2 linked regions of the Oreochromis niloticus genome follow. The protein of the gene in region 1 purifies or fractionates together with the protein of each later gene. This does not show direct contact. Links are inferred from orthologs where the notes say so. Each region holds a gene or a part of one and is shown on either strand. Other genes may lie near its edges.

Region 1 (7,463 bases):
GTAAATACTCTCGTCAGTTCCCGAGTTAGAGGAGTCGTTTTCTGCTGTTGTGCATTTCCCTCCATGGTAAACAGACTGGGCTGCTGCTGCTGCCTTGTCCTCGATGCGACTTAAGTGGTCAGGTGCCAAACACCTTGAGTGAACCCGAAATGTCTTAATGCACACCCCTTTCCTTGCGCGCTAACTAGTTAGTTCACATGCTCGCCCAAAACCACCTGCTAGCATTTGTTAATTAAAAAGAAAGAAAGAAAGAAAAGGAGTCAAGTTAACAGGTAGTGTCCTTAAACATACATGAAGTAGGAGTGCGTCAGTGCTAAACGGTCCCCACTGTCTGTTGTGTCCGTGAATGAGAAGAAGGCATTTGTTGTTGTCCTGTTGACAAGCACGGCTAAGCTAGTTTCACGTCAAGCTTCGAGTGGAAGAAAACCGCTTCGAGTTATCGCTATTTAATCATTTTTACTTCCTTTTAATAGTCGCAGTGTTTTTTCATTACTAACAACAAACTTGCAAGTGTCTTAAAAACAAAGCACGCACGTAAGGCTACGTTGTGTCGGCCAAAATTACGCTAAGAAATCAGTGCTGCGACCTAGCTGTGGTCCACTGAAAGTTAGCGTTGCTAGCCAGAGGGCATCTCCGATCCGTCCCCGCCTTAGCCTGGCACGGCACACATATCCATTTAACCTGACGCGGCACACTTTCACAGCAGTGCAGCCCCGTGTTTAAAAGAGAGGGCCCGGCTTTGTCACCGACACAAACAGCCCGAGCACGACTTTAAAACAACAACACGAAAAAAACTCCGTTTTTCCAGAGGAGGCTGCGCTATAGACCGTTCCTAACCAACAGTGGCCCGGTGGAGCCAGCGGACATCCTCCACCCCAAACACCGACGACTGACAGTTGCCAAACCGAGCCGGGTGCTGTCGCTGGTGGTGACGAATAGGACGAGTGGGGCTGGTGCAGGGCGAGGAGTGTCAAAATCATATAGCTGAGAGAAGCAGGAGTGAAATCACAGCAAAACAGAAACTCGACGAGAGCGGTGTGCGGAGGAAAAGGCGGGGCCCAAGCGGCATTCTGGGAAGTGTAGGCATTAGAGAGAACGCCGTTTCCACCGGGAGGCGAAGATATAGACGGATGGAAAAAGGGGAATTATGAACGAAAAAAGACTAAGAGTGGAAAATATCTGGTTTACGGCTTTGTGCACACAGTGTAATATCTGATCAATAATAATCCCAGCAGAGATATAGATTTATTGATTAGTTCTCCGACTAATTCATGAGCACACGTGCATGTCCATCCTTGGAAATGAATGGGACTTGTCTTTATGTTCAGTTATACTATCACAGGCATCTACATTTGTTTTAATTATTTAGTTTAATAATTGGGTAATTCTAGGTCAACCAAAAGTTTCCTTGCTTTACTCGCAATCTATCCAGCATGTGGTTACCTCTCATACCACATGGGTTTATTTACATTCAAATCAAATATGAAATGATAGTTTTCATTTTTATATCACTCCACATGACAAACTTCTGCTAGACAAAGACACTAAGAACTTACAAGTAATATGGGGCTATTATTAGTCCCGTACCAAGTCGGCCCATTACAGTGAGAAACTGAGTGCAGACATGTGTCAGAACTACAAGCTGCTAGTGAGCTCCCTCTTCTGGCAGAAAGGTTGAATTACAAAAACATTATCTTCGAAAAGGTTAGTTAAGGTCAGATCAAATCAGGAATATTTTCTGTGCCAAAGCTTTATATGATCTGATTTAATAAATGTATAATATTTCAGATATAACGTCAGATAACACTAATAATATTTGGACATCACATGTGCAATAACTTTACAGATTCATTTATGTTCTCTTCTTGAAACTTCTTCTTCTTTCAGTTAAAAGGTTGCCACAGCAGAGCTTCTGCCTCCATCTCACTCTATCCCCTATCATCCTCCTCTGTCACAACAACCCTCCGCATTTCCTACTTCACTACATCCTTCACTGAATCACCTCTATGGTCTTCCTCTTGTCTTCTTACCTGGCAGCTTGATATTTAGCATCCTCTCAAAGGTCAAATGTATTTATATAGAAGATTTAAAACAACAGGGTTGACCAAAGTGCTATACATTAAAAGTATATAGCCCCAAGAAAAACTACAGTAAAATGCAGAAATAATTAGCATAAAGTAAAATAAAATAAAATAAAACCATAACATAAAATGCAATTGTCCAAAAGTATTTTACACTCTAATCAAATGCCAAAGAGAATAAATGTGTTTTTAATAAAGATTTAAATGTGTGTATCCTTTGTCCAATGCATCCACTGTCCCTCCTCTGCACATGCACATGTCTCCAAACTGCTCAGCCTGAGCTGTCCATCTGATCTACTCATTTCTACTTATTTCCATTCTCGTCACTCCCAGTGAAAACTTTAACATCTCCAGCTCAGCCTCCTGTTTTTTTGTCAGTGCCGCGGTCTCAAAATCATACATCACGGCAGGTCTCACAACCATCATGTAAATTCTCTCTTTCACGCTTGCTACTATCCTTCTGTTATAAATTACCCCTGACACTCGACTCCACTCACTCCACTCTGACTCTACTCCATCTTGCTTCTACTGACTTTCATTCCTCTTGTCTTTGGTGCATACCTCCACCTCTCCAGGCTCTCTTCCACCTGCTCCCAGCTCTCACTACAGATCACAATGTCATCCGCGAACACCACAGTCCACAGTGACCTTATCTGACCTGATGTCATCGCCAACAAAACATTTTTGGTTATCTAGCTGGTATTTTGATTTGATTCCCAACACAACAACATATAATTGACCAAATTACTTAGCTGCGAAAGCACTTTTATATTACTGTTCTCTTTTTTTTTCTACTTCACTGTCGTTTATTTGTTCAAAATGTTCCTCTGCATGCACGAGTGAATAATCTGTGAAACATTAGTGAGCGGTAAACAGAAAAAGGCCAACGATTTAGAACACTGGTTCCCAAAATGTGGAGCAGACCCCCTGCTGAAGCATAGCGCCGCTGCGGGGTGCACGGGCAACCAGAGTGGGAAAAACTGCAGTTCAAGTAAGTTTGACTAACATGGTTTATGCAAGGACAAGTAAAAGCAGCTTGTTTGTTTCAGTGAAATGTAATGCTGTTAGTGACATTTCAGCTTCTGAAGGACAATAAAAGTTTGAGGTCCTGTCAGTTAAAACAGAATGTGTGAACACGCAGCTTTGCTTGGTTTAAAGTATTAATTCATGAAGTTCAGGGAAGGCGGCTCATCTTGTCTTGACTGACAAACACTTGTCAGATGTTTTGCCTTAAGGTTTGTACTGAATATATAGTGATGAACGTGTGGCCTCGAATCAGGTTAACCAGCCTGCAGTGTTGCAAACAGTGACTGCATGCTGACCTCCAGTGGCCCATAGCTGCAACAACATTATTCATCTAAACGTTTTCTGTTCCAGATTTCACTTCTCCCAGCTCACCACTGGCTTCCCGTTTAGATCAGAATATCCAAATAAACATAGCTGCATGAAGTCAGTCAGGACTGAAAATGCGGTCCGTTGGTGGAATAGAAAAAAGCAAAACACAAAAACTCATTTTTTGACCTTGCAGATTTGATCTTAGAGAGCTGTGTATTTTTTCCACTTCATTGGAAATGAGCAAGAAGCAATGATGGGAAAGAAGCTGGCTTATTCATAACGTTTTAAGAGGATAGTTTCGAGGCATAAGCTCCATCGATTACACAGTGGTTTCAAAATAAGCAACTGTCAAAAGTAATGCTTTATTCCTGTCTAGGTTTTAAATACTCTAAACGTGCACAACAATGCTTTATAATACCACATACTCTCATACCATCCATCTGCATTTTATCACATAAGAGAATTATAGTATCATCTGTCATCCTTTACCTCATTTGCTGATAGCACCAATATTATAATCAACACTGGGTCATTTGCACTACTATTCTCATATATGAGATCTGGTGTGTGTTGCAAAGTAGGCCAACATGTCGGTTTCGTCAGACGGCGATCGTTTGAGTAAATTTACTTAAATGCAACCACTGGATATGTTGCAACTACCTGTTCAACTTCTGTGCCCCATTTGTTTTTTTTGTTTGTTTTGGGGGGTTTTTTCGTCTTTGTGGGGTGTCCTTGGTCTGTTTATGTGGAACACAGATTTTTACACCAATCACCCAAAAATTAAAAACTAAACAAAGCAAAACCAAAAAAAGGTTTGTGTGGGCATTAAAAGAGGTTACCAGGCAATACTGAATAATTTCTTCTTCTTCTTTTTAACATTAACTTTAAATAAAGCTGAAGCACAAATGTTATATACACGTAGCCCATAAATCCAATCTCAACTAGTTCACTTTGTTTGTTCACTCCACGGTGTGCGCGGTGCAGCAGATCCAGCGCTCCTCCCTTACCTGAAACTCCCCCTCCACTATTTGACGTGTCCGTCTGCGGGCGGTGCTCCGCCGCTTTCCCCCTCACTCTTGTCTACCTGCTGCCGAGTCCCAGCAGCATTACTGAGCTAACACGCAGATGTTCCAGTTCCTGCATAGAGCTTCTCGATCACACTAACCTCCAGTTCTCAGCTGAAGACTTTGTATCGAGACTTTAACCTGAAGCGTGCCTGCGGCTCCACACAGAGGGAATGCATTTTTAACACCTGGGTCTGAAAGTAAAGCGACACAAGACAACACCGCTGCCGGGGGTCGGCATGGATGCATTACGCGCTGCCCATCTTTCGTCAGCGTGCAGCAGGTCGTCCGTCGGGGGAGCTTTTCACGACGAAAACACACCCTTCGGGAAAGCTCAGTTCCAGGTGCCCGTGAAAAAACAAGCCGTGAAGAGGCACCACCACAAACACAACCTGAAACACAGGTACGAGTTTCTGGAGACCCTCGGAAAAGGAACCTACGGCAAGGTGAAGAAGGCCAAGGAAAGGTCCGGTAGACTGGTAAGCATGGTGTTGTTTTTCTTTTATTATTATTATTCGTAACCTGATCACATTTTACCTGCAATCAGTCTGAGGTCGGTGTTTGGGCTGCTCGTCCCATCGGCCACCTGTTGTTTAGACAGCGAGCGCTATTTTAGGTGACTGGCTGTCTGCAAACAGGTAGAGCACGTTTGGATTTGAATTTTCAAATAAAGGCGTGGAAACTCTACCGCAGAGCGTTCACTTTGAAAAAAGAAAACAGCAAAGTATTGCTGGATTGTATGAAAATAATATTTTTATTTTTTTTTATTAGGGCGGATTGTAAAGTAATAAAGCTGAAAGTGCGCCTGCCATCTCTCCTGAGGTGTGTGTTTATTGGCTAAAGTTTGCCGAAGGGTTCAGTATGTTTATAAATGATGTTTTCTTACGTTCACACTGGACTATACTGACCATAATCTAATAATTTCCTCCTCACCAGCCCGCAGACTCTTTCTGATCTGCTTGATAAGCGCTTGAATTTGGCTTAAGCGCAAATGCAATTATGCAAGCATCTGCCCATGCCTCTTCATGGTGTATTCAGGTTAAACACTGAGATCTGCTCCAGTTTGAGGTCATTATCATGGAGTTTCAACAGAACATTATCACAGGGCATTTTACATAACCTCTCTTTTTTTTTTTTAAATTTAGCCCATGTGAGGCACAAAAGAAAGTCTCTTGGAAAAGGCTGGGTTAGTTATTTTCCCCAGGAAACAGTTTAGGTAACTTTCTTTTTGTTGGGTTTTTTTTTTTTTTTTTTTTTTGATAAAAGGAACAGGAGGAGGAGATGCGGGGGTTGCAACTGGGCTTCCAGGTAAATTCCAGCTCTCCATGGCCTAAGGGGAAATGGGAGGAATTTAAAACAGTAGACAGATAAGCCCTTAAAAGAGTCATAAAAAGGAGGGGTTTTTTCCCCTTGATTATAAGATATCGAAGCACATCCTTATCAGAGTTTTATTTTTAGCTTGTAAATATTTTAGAAAGGAATGTGGAAGCGGGTTGATTATGATTGTGAGACCAGTTAAAAAATACTGTACGGGACTGGGTCAGGGTCATGTGGCACCACAAAACAAACCCTGACTCAACAACAACACTTAAAACCAGTTTAAACAAACCCACATAATAAACTGGCACCTGAGTTTATTTTTGGTGTACCTATTAAAATCTTTGTTCTCTCGATAAACATGTGATTTGCATTCGTCCTGCCTAATGGTTTGTTTACTTGCCGTGGCTCATCGAACATACTGGGAAGTGGAAAGTGTGTTAAAATGATCCAAATCAAAGCCCACATCTAGACTTTAAAATGAAAACTAAACATTCCTGCTGTAGAAACCTGGGGTTTTTCTCAGGAAGCCTGACTCGGTTGCTGTTTCATACTTTATCGGAAATGCCCTTTGTTAAAAGCCCTGCTTTAGTGTAAGTGAAAGTGGAGAAGTCAAGGAAGTAAGTGTTAGGAATCCCTTTCCCCTTCCCTTTGGTGCTTACAGTAAACATGCAGTGATACAAGTTGACCCGTGTCCACACACGCCCATCTCTGCTCTTTCACCGACTGGCTCTGCTGTTTTTATAAGAAACGAGTTGGTGTCTGGGATTTATCCCTGCCGGCAGCTTCCTGATGCCTCAAACCTGCAATTTTCTTTTCTTTTTTTTAAGTATCAAAACACTGATTAGCCCAAATACGCGTTTTCAAGCTCACACCCAACAAATGGCATTTAGCAGAGAAGCCTTTGCACGCGTGATTATTGACAACATAATGGACAGAGATATGTCATTTGACTCAGGGGAGTGACACAAAAACAAAGGGTGGCTTCATCTTGCGTGCTGTGGCATTACAGCTGTTTCCATTGTCTAAGTGCAAGAGTCTGATTGCATAATCCACTTAGGTGTGAGGTGTGGGGTGAGGTGGGGGGGTGTCAACATACATCAGGATAGGGCAGGGGTCAGCAACCTTTTAAGACCCAAAGAGCCATTTGGACCCAGTTTCCACGTAAAAGAAAACACTGGGAGCCGCGAATACTTTTTGACATCTAAAATGAAGATAACACTGTATATATTGTATTTTACCTTTGTGCTTTGTGTGAACAACTAAGGTGTGCTGCTTATGAAATCCATGAAGTGCTATAGAGAAAATTACATTTTATTTATGTAATTAACACATTTTGAACTCTTAAAGAAATATAACAAAAGGAAAGACACCCAGGTGAACTAAAATGATCCATGTAGCAAACAAAAACTGTTGTCAGCCGCCACCCATATATCGCCTTTGGGCTTTTGGAGCCTTGACCTGACTTTTAAAAAAATAATTGGAAAAAAAGCACTATGCTGCTGAAAAATGAAAAATAGATATTTGCAAAATTCTGCCTAAATATGTATTTTACCTGGTTAATGTGTGTGGCGGGGCATGTTCTGCAGCGCCGCTGCAGGGGAGGCGGACGCCCTGAGCGGCACCCGCAATCACGCCTCACCGCCTTAACGTCTGTGCTCTCTCT
Region 2 (7,645 bases), on another chromosome or scaffold:
GACTTTAAGTAGACTGTAAATAAAAAAGAGACTAATGGCAGGAATATCCGTGAACGACCGGCACTGGCTACAGCGAGGAGCTAGCAAAGCAGCACAAAAGAGGAATCCTATTATTATTTCATCATTTTCACACATTTTAGACATTTTCAGTTCACAATACTCATTAAATACATTTCCCTACATGGAAAAAAGAAAAAAAAAAGTAGACTGTAGCAGTCAGATGCATGGCACTTATAAGGAATATTCAAATCCATTGATGCTTTTCCATTGTTTTGGTTTCAATACAAATTTAAACATGTTTGGCAAGATCGGACGCAGCAGAAATGAAACACAACCAAACCTACATCCATTTTAGTCGTAGTAGTAAGTAGTAGCTGGGACCTAGCCCAGCTGTCATGAGTACACCCTGGACAGATTGCCAGTCTATCACAGGGCTAACATAGAGACAGGATGCCATCCACACCTATGACCAACTTAGAATTGCCAGTTAAGCTAACATGTATATTTCTGAGTGTGAGGGGGAACCTGGAGAACATGCGGACTCCACCCCGTCACATATTCAGAGCCTGGTGTTCATATGTTGACAGGGACTGGAAAAAATAATCTTACGAAACAATCTTTTCAAGCAACTGAACCAAAACCTCCAAGTAAGCACATTTTTTTGCTGTTTGTGCTGTCTGCAGCTCATAAACTCGCTGATGTATCACACAGATACACAAACACCTACACACGAGACTCTCTTATTACATTCAGAGCTGGAAGTGACCCACAGCGCTCGCCTTGTTCTGTCAGTCACTGTGAGGTCGACTCTCCCTGCCAAACAGCAGCTTGCACATCACTTTCCCTGCAGCCCTCCTGGTATCAGCACACTGAAGCCACTGGCCAGCAACTTCCTGACGCTGACGTTGTTGGTGTTCCATATCGCTCTGACTCATTAGAACCGTGCAGATTTCCCATGACATTTGTGTAACAGCCGAGCTGAGTGTCTTCTAAGTCCAGTTTACTGTGCTTTTAGGCAGTAAATGCTTCTGAAATGAAATAATATTGGGTTTATGTGTACACACGCCACACAATGGCTCATGGTGGCAGTTGTATAAATGTTTTGGTTCATGATTTTGCTTGAACAGCTTGTTATTCAGGATGTCAACTTCAAGTTCAGTTGGAGGGGGGCACCAAATTACGCACAGAGATTACCTTTCTCATTTTTAATGTCTTTAAACAGAAAAAAACCATCATTAAGTGACACCCTGCTGTAAAGAAAACAAGAGCGACTGCATGCTTCATACCTACAACTTGACGGCAACACCGCACCCCCTGCTGAGTACACATGAATGTCTGCCAACAATAACTCATGAGGGTGCCAAAAAACAAAAAAAACAAAACAAAAATCACATGCACTTTATGTACCACCCTGTTTTCACTCCAGATTGAACTGGACCACCCTGGTGCTTAAGTCTACTAACACTTCAAGTGTTCGCCATCAAATCATCGCAGGTACTCTGTAATAAGACGGCTTCCATTTCCCTTTGGGGAGCGATGTCTTTTTTATGACATGGAAACTAAACGCGTTACATAGTTGGAAAAGCCGTTTCGTGAATCTGGGTGGAAGAAAGGGGAAATACCGCCAAATGAGAGTTTGTTTAGTTAGCATGACAAAATTCCTTCCACTTCCTGAAATGAAAATAGCCACATCTGTAAAAGTTCATTTGAACCAAAACGATGATAATGAAGCATTTAAAACAAAAACAAAAAAAGATCTTTGTACACAAATACATAAACTGAAGAGAGTCACAGTGTGACACAAAGAAAAAAAGTAATTAAAACTGTTTTTAAGACAGGGTAAAGGTCTTTGGCAGAGGGAAATACATATGAAGATGGAAAATGTTGTAAATCGATCCACTAAAAAATAAAGTGCAGAAGCATATGGGGTGCTGGATGGAGCACAGGAAAAACTCTGAGTCGGTGTAGGTAGCAGATTTACAGGGTGGCATACAGTGGGACATATAAGTGAGCGCGTGCATCTAAATGCATGAATTTGCCTTTGTAGGCTGCCTTGATTCAACGACATGATTTTCCTGTGTTTTTCCTTACTTTCCCAATTTCAAAATGTCTTTCAAAAATACAAAAATAAAGCACCTTTATTGTACCACTTATACGCTAAAGGGCACAAATGCTTTCCACTGGGACGCTACTCTCTGTTTGTTAGCAGCCATGTTGTTTCTATCAATCCTGATAATTTTATACCTCAGCATAAATTTGGTTGGGATACAGTCGATGTTCTCGACTGTCTGTTTGAGCTGTCCAGTTATATAATACTAAGGCAAGTTCCTTATTCCAGCAGGGTTATTGCTGAGAGTATGTTACATTTTTTTTCTTTATATTATTATTATTAGTAGTAGTAGTAAGCTGCTAATGTATTAATATTATACTGTAATATTATAGATAAAGCTTCCCGGCAGTATATAATTACCAGCTATGGAGAGATTTTGTGTCAGCCAAATGTTATTACCACAGTTGCACAAAGGGGTAATAAATGGATGAAGTGACTGTATCAGTATACATACAGAAGTGATGATATTTTACATGATGTGCAGATAACTGCAGATAAGAATACAGGTGTGCCTTAAATCTATCCACGCCCTTTAGTGTGGCTTTGGCACCAAATGTTTTGAAAGAACCACCCAGAAGAAAGGGGAAACACCTCCACTGAGACAGTCTGTTTAATTCGAACAATAAAATCATTTCACTTCCTGAAATGAAAAACAAAACATGACTTTTGTAAAACTGATGGTTCATTTGAGTTGCCGCTGATTGTAAGACAACATAAAAAGACTCAATCAGCACTAATTCAGCATAAATAAAGGACAAAAATAAATAACAGACCCAAGACTCTGCTATAACTTCATAGTGATGCTACTAGAATACAATGTATTTATGATATTCTTTGATTTTCATGCAACAGCCTCCATCAGCCACAGAGCAACTTCGTTACATAGTCACCAATTGGCAATGCTAAAAAATGATAACTACAATGCCATTTGCCCTCTCCATTATTGATGGGTTTTAGGGGTCCAGACCTGCCTAAAAATGTGAATTGAGCCCTCTGAGCTGATTCTACAACCATTAATTAAATCAAGTCAGAAAGTTTGGTAATGAAAAAGTAAACACCCATGATGCCATAAAGCTGCGATGTAAGTTATTGCAGCACAAGCTGAAGTTAATTATTTGGTTAGCTGTAGTTTAGCGCTTCTGCAGCAATAGCAGTAACCAGCATGATGGAGAAGGGCACTGACGTTGGAACAGATGGCTCTGTGGAGGTTACAGTTTGGAAAGTACCTTGTATGTCGTTTTGGAGCTAAAAACAGGTCATTCATCTGGTTGTGCAACTACTCTATATGGACACACGTACTGGGCCACACCTCTTTCGAATTCAGATGTGCTCAGTCCCATTGCCACAGGTGTATAAAGCAATTCTGACTGCTTTTACAACATTTGTGCAAGAATAGGTCATTACAAAGATTTACTGAATTTTGTGTGATCAAGTATAAGTCATATCAGTAAAAAGTCAAAGCGTTAAGGTATCATAGCAGCTGTGAAGTTACAAGTGCTCTGGCGCATAGTGCAGAGTTGCATACCTCCTGTGGCATTAATATTAGCACAAAAGCTGTGCACCAAGAAATTTGTGGTATTCATAGGTTTCCAAGGAGAGGCAGTTCCTAAAAGTGTAATGTGTAGGTGGCCAAGAACTGTTGCTTTCTTGTGTGGCAAAAGAGCTAATTAAATTCATCTGACATTAAATATTTAAATATACAGTATATTATGCATTTAAAGGAGATCTGACGGTATTTCAGATGAGATACATGCTCTTTTCTGAGTATAATGAGAATACAGGTGTGCCTGAACGTTTTGGCTCGCCTTGCGATGTACCTTTAGCACAAAATGCTTTAAAAGAACCACCCACAAGACGTGGAAAACATCTGCAAAGAGTATGTTTGTTTAGATAGCATAATAAAATGCTTTCTGCTTCCTCAACTGAAAAGACAGGGGTGACGTCTGTAAATCACAAGTTAATTGATATGATTGCTAAAAAAAAGGACGGGACACACTGGAGAGATTATGTCTTATGTCTATGATGGATTGACAAAAGCAAGGTGTTGTGGGTGCACGTGCCACCCCATTGAAAAAATCCTGGAAACGTCCCTGATCCAGACCTCCTTTTCCTTTCCTTCACCCACAGAGAAGGTGGGAAGATTTGGTTGTTCTTACAGATAACACTGTTTTCTACTGCAGATACATTCACTGACATGTGGTTTTACATCACTTCTGTGTTCCCAGCTATATCACAGCAAACAGTAGCCTAGAGGCGGTCAAAAAATATTAGCTACTGCACGTTAGAGAGCCTCTCTTAGAATTTTTTTGTGAACCCGCAGAAGGTTATGCAATATTTTTAAGTAATCTTGTCTTATTTGGTGTGCACAGTCGATAAGGATTACCCTGCTCGCTCACTCACTCACTCTCCCTTATAATCCGCTGATGATGACGTTATACTGCAGTTCCTGGGCTTCAGATCTCGCGAGGTTACGGGAAACAATCCAGACGCGCTCTCTCTCTCTCTCTCTCTCTCTCACTCTCAGTTCCCCCTCCTCCCCAGCCCTCCCTTCCCACGCCCCACTGCGCTGTGGGATAGTGGCACTATAAAGTATATCCTCTCTCGGCGAAAGATAAGAAGCCCGAGACAGGAGGGGGATGAAGATGGCGGACGCCAAGCAGAAGCGGAATGAACAGTTAAAGCGATGGCTTGGCTCGGAAACGGACCAGGAGCCTCCTGTTTTGAAAAAGAAAAAGACGAAGGTGAAGTTCGATGATGGCGCCGTGTTTCTGGCCGCCTGTTCGAGCGGCGATACCGAGGAGGTGCTCCGAATGCTTGACCGGGGCGCTGACATCAACTACGCCAATGTAGACGGTCTCACCGCCCTCCACCAGGTTTGTGTTGGCCTGCCGTGTGTGTTTATGTCAGCAGCTGGTACCATTAGACATAAATATCGACTGGCTGCTAGCAAAAGCTTACCCTGGTACACCTGTCAAATGGAAGCCATTCTCATCCCGTTGTTTACCTACCTAGCATACTCGTCCTTCTCGAAGCAGAGAAGGGATGAACCCGTTGGCTTCCTCCTGAGGCTGTTTAATTGGTAAACCGCGCTAACTATGCATACACTTGCCTGAGTATAAGTGGCAAGAAGCAGCAAAGTCAAACACCTAATTTCCAGGGCTAATTCTACTTCATGCCTCCATAAACTAGCCTGAGTCTGTAGGTGCAGTCTAATTGCAGTACTGCTGCATTTTTCGGGTTGAAACATTGGCTCGGTTTTATGTTGTAAATGCAATCAAGCCAGACAAGCACCTAGTGTCTGTGTGGTCCATTGATTATTTTCGGATCCTACTTAGTGTGTTTGGAGCTTAATATAAATGATGTTCATGCAGAATGAACCCAGCAATAGATGGCTGCTACCTGGTTAGCAGTAAAAGTCGTTTTGTTGATAAACCCTCCCCGACTGTGGCTACTCTCTGGAGAGGAAGCAGAAGCTACCTCGCTAACTAGCTTCAGATACAACGTCATTCAGATACAGGCTAATGTTACGATTGCAAAACAATGATTGCTTGTCACTCTAACTTAAAAAATGCATCCCCTCATAAATATTGGGCATATTAGTTTAATTGCCAGGAAAGAGTGAATGGTAACAGCGCAGTATTAGCCCAGCGGATTGTCTGCTAACGTACTTTAGCATGCTAAGATAAATGTCGTTAGCTGTGTGGGGCTTTAGCTGAAGTTAATTCATTCATTAACTGACCGGAGAAACGGCGTCAGCGGTAAATTATGGGCCTCATAATTTTATGCTGTTTTGTGTATAGTTAATCGGAAACGGCTGTGTCGTTAGCGCTTTTGCTACACCGGGATGTTAGCCGTGCCAAGCTAGTCATTTGCCCGCTAACTGGGGTAGCTACTTTGACTAGCATCAGTACTTCCACAGCCGATAAACTGAAAATGGCACCTCATCTTGATGGGTTTTAGGCGGTATGAGGTAGTTTCAGTCCAAATGGGTTAAAAGCCTGATTTGAAAGCTTTATAAACCACCATGGATCCAGTGATGGAAGTGGGTTGCTTGTTGGTGCAGTAAGCTTACATAAAGTTGTGACCAGGTTAAGTCCAGTGAGGTGTGCAAAAGCTAGACTAGAATTAAAACTTAAATAACAAAGAACCTGATCGTGTAATTTATGAATTTGTTTCTGTTGCTTCAGATGTAGCTTTTACCATTAAACAAGTACACTTATTTTAAAAACAATAGGATTTAATAACATGTTTTTCAGTTTGTGCTTAATGGATCAAATGATTACGGGTATACTGTTAGCTTTTACAGTGACATTTTCATAAAGAAATCTTGCTTATTTTGTACCAAGAACATTGCAGTTAAGTGTTTTACTATTTGGTGGAAATAAGCAGGGTGAAGGGTTTGGGGGATTTCCCCTTTCTGGACTGCATGTTTCTGCCTCTGATAAATAATTTGTCATTCCCACTGGAAAATAAACTTTTATCCCCCCCCCCTTTCCAGGATTTTTGCAGTGTCTTGAAACAGTCAACAGTGCAAACATCAGTCCAATCAGAAACTGATCTCACTTTCAGTGCTTGTGAGGCTGCTGGGGTGAGATGATCAGGATCTATTCCATTCCAGCTTTTCATTAAGCCAAACTGTAACGTTGGATCTCTGGGTCCAGAGAGTTGCAGAAAAACCTCAGAAATATTGTGTGCCAACCAGTTGCCTCTGTGTTGACATCTGAGGTCTCTCCAAAGGTGATTTGTGCAGCTTCTTCTTTTCTTCTTTCTTCTTGTTGAGTTGCGGCTCGGCACCAGGACTGTTCTCTGCAACATCCTGCAGTCGTTTGTCGCCTTTTGCATGATGGCGCAGCTGCTGTGATAGGCTGATGGAGAGGGGTAGAAGCATTTTGTTTAAAAAGATCAACCTTAACCTGATCTTCGTTCACAAGTTAGAACATGCTGTCGAACATATTACAGAGTCAGATAATTTCCACATATTTATTAACACTCAAACTGGAAAGTGTGCTGCTGATCTCAGAAAATGAAGTCTCCTTCCCTTTACAGAGACTTTATGGATTCGGGTAAAAGAGGGTGATGTGTTTTACATTTGGGGTTATTTCAAATTAATCATTAAAGCTATGAAGCTAACATCCTCTGAAGAGGGAAACGGTGGTTGCCCCTCTATATATTTTTTTTATTTTTCTCTCCCTGCATATTGCATCCTGGATATCAGTATTTTAATTTGAAGAAATAAAGGATAATGCTGGTGGAAACGAGCATTTGTTTATCTTGTTTGCACTAGTGTGGATAGTGTTTACATGATGTAAGGATGTACAAAACTATTCACATTAAATGTTTTATACTTGCATAGATCTCCTGTGATGTCACTTCATTACTCATGTCCACATGTCTCGTCTTAGTAATTATGAGCACTGCTTTATGCACCACCTTGCTCCCATGGTGTGTTTGTTCTCCAAGACTTACGCCACTGCACAGATTAAAAGTTTTAAAAGCAGGTTTTAAGGCATGGGTCATCAGCTTTATCCGTATGTG

The links. The genes of interacting proteins can lie anywhere in the genome.
Region 2: the proteins of nuak2 (region 1) and ppp1r12a purify together in Homo sapiens (affinity purification with mass spectrometry; 3 studies listed by BioGRID and IntAct, counting the BioPlex papers as one, with this or other methods). This does not show direct contact. The link is inferred for Oreochromis niloticus from reciprocal best matches to the Homo sapiens genes NUAK2 and PPP1R12A.

What each region holds. Positions count from the first base shown.
Region 1 is NC_031970.2:21,808,985-21,816,447, forward strand, and holds the start of nuak2 (NUAK family SNF1-like kinase 2), read left to right. Parts: upstream 1-4,449; 5' UTR 4,450-4,719; coding exon 4,720-4,959; intron 4,960-7,463. Other genes in the region: dstyk (dual serine/threonine and tyrosine protein kinase), read right to left, coding at 1-65. UniProt on the Homo sapiens protein: Stress-activated kinase involved in tolerance to glucose starvation. Induces cell-cell detachment by increasing F-actin conversion to G-actin. Expression is induced by CD95 or TNF-alpha, via NF-kappa-B.
Region 2 is NC_031981.2:15,912,183-15,919,827, forward strand, and holds the start of ppp1r12a (protein phosphatase 1 regulatory subunit 12A), read left to right. Parts: upstream 1-4,635; 5' UTR 4,636-4,746; coding exon 4,747-4,983; intron 4,984-7,645. UniProt on the Homo sapiens protein: Key regulator of protein phosphatase 1C (PPP1C). Mediates binding to myosin. As part of the PPP1C complex, involved in dephosphorylation of PLK1. Capable of inhibiting HIF1AN-dependent suppression of HIF1A activity.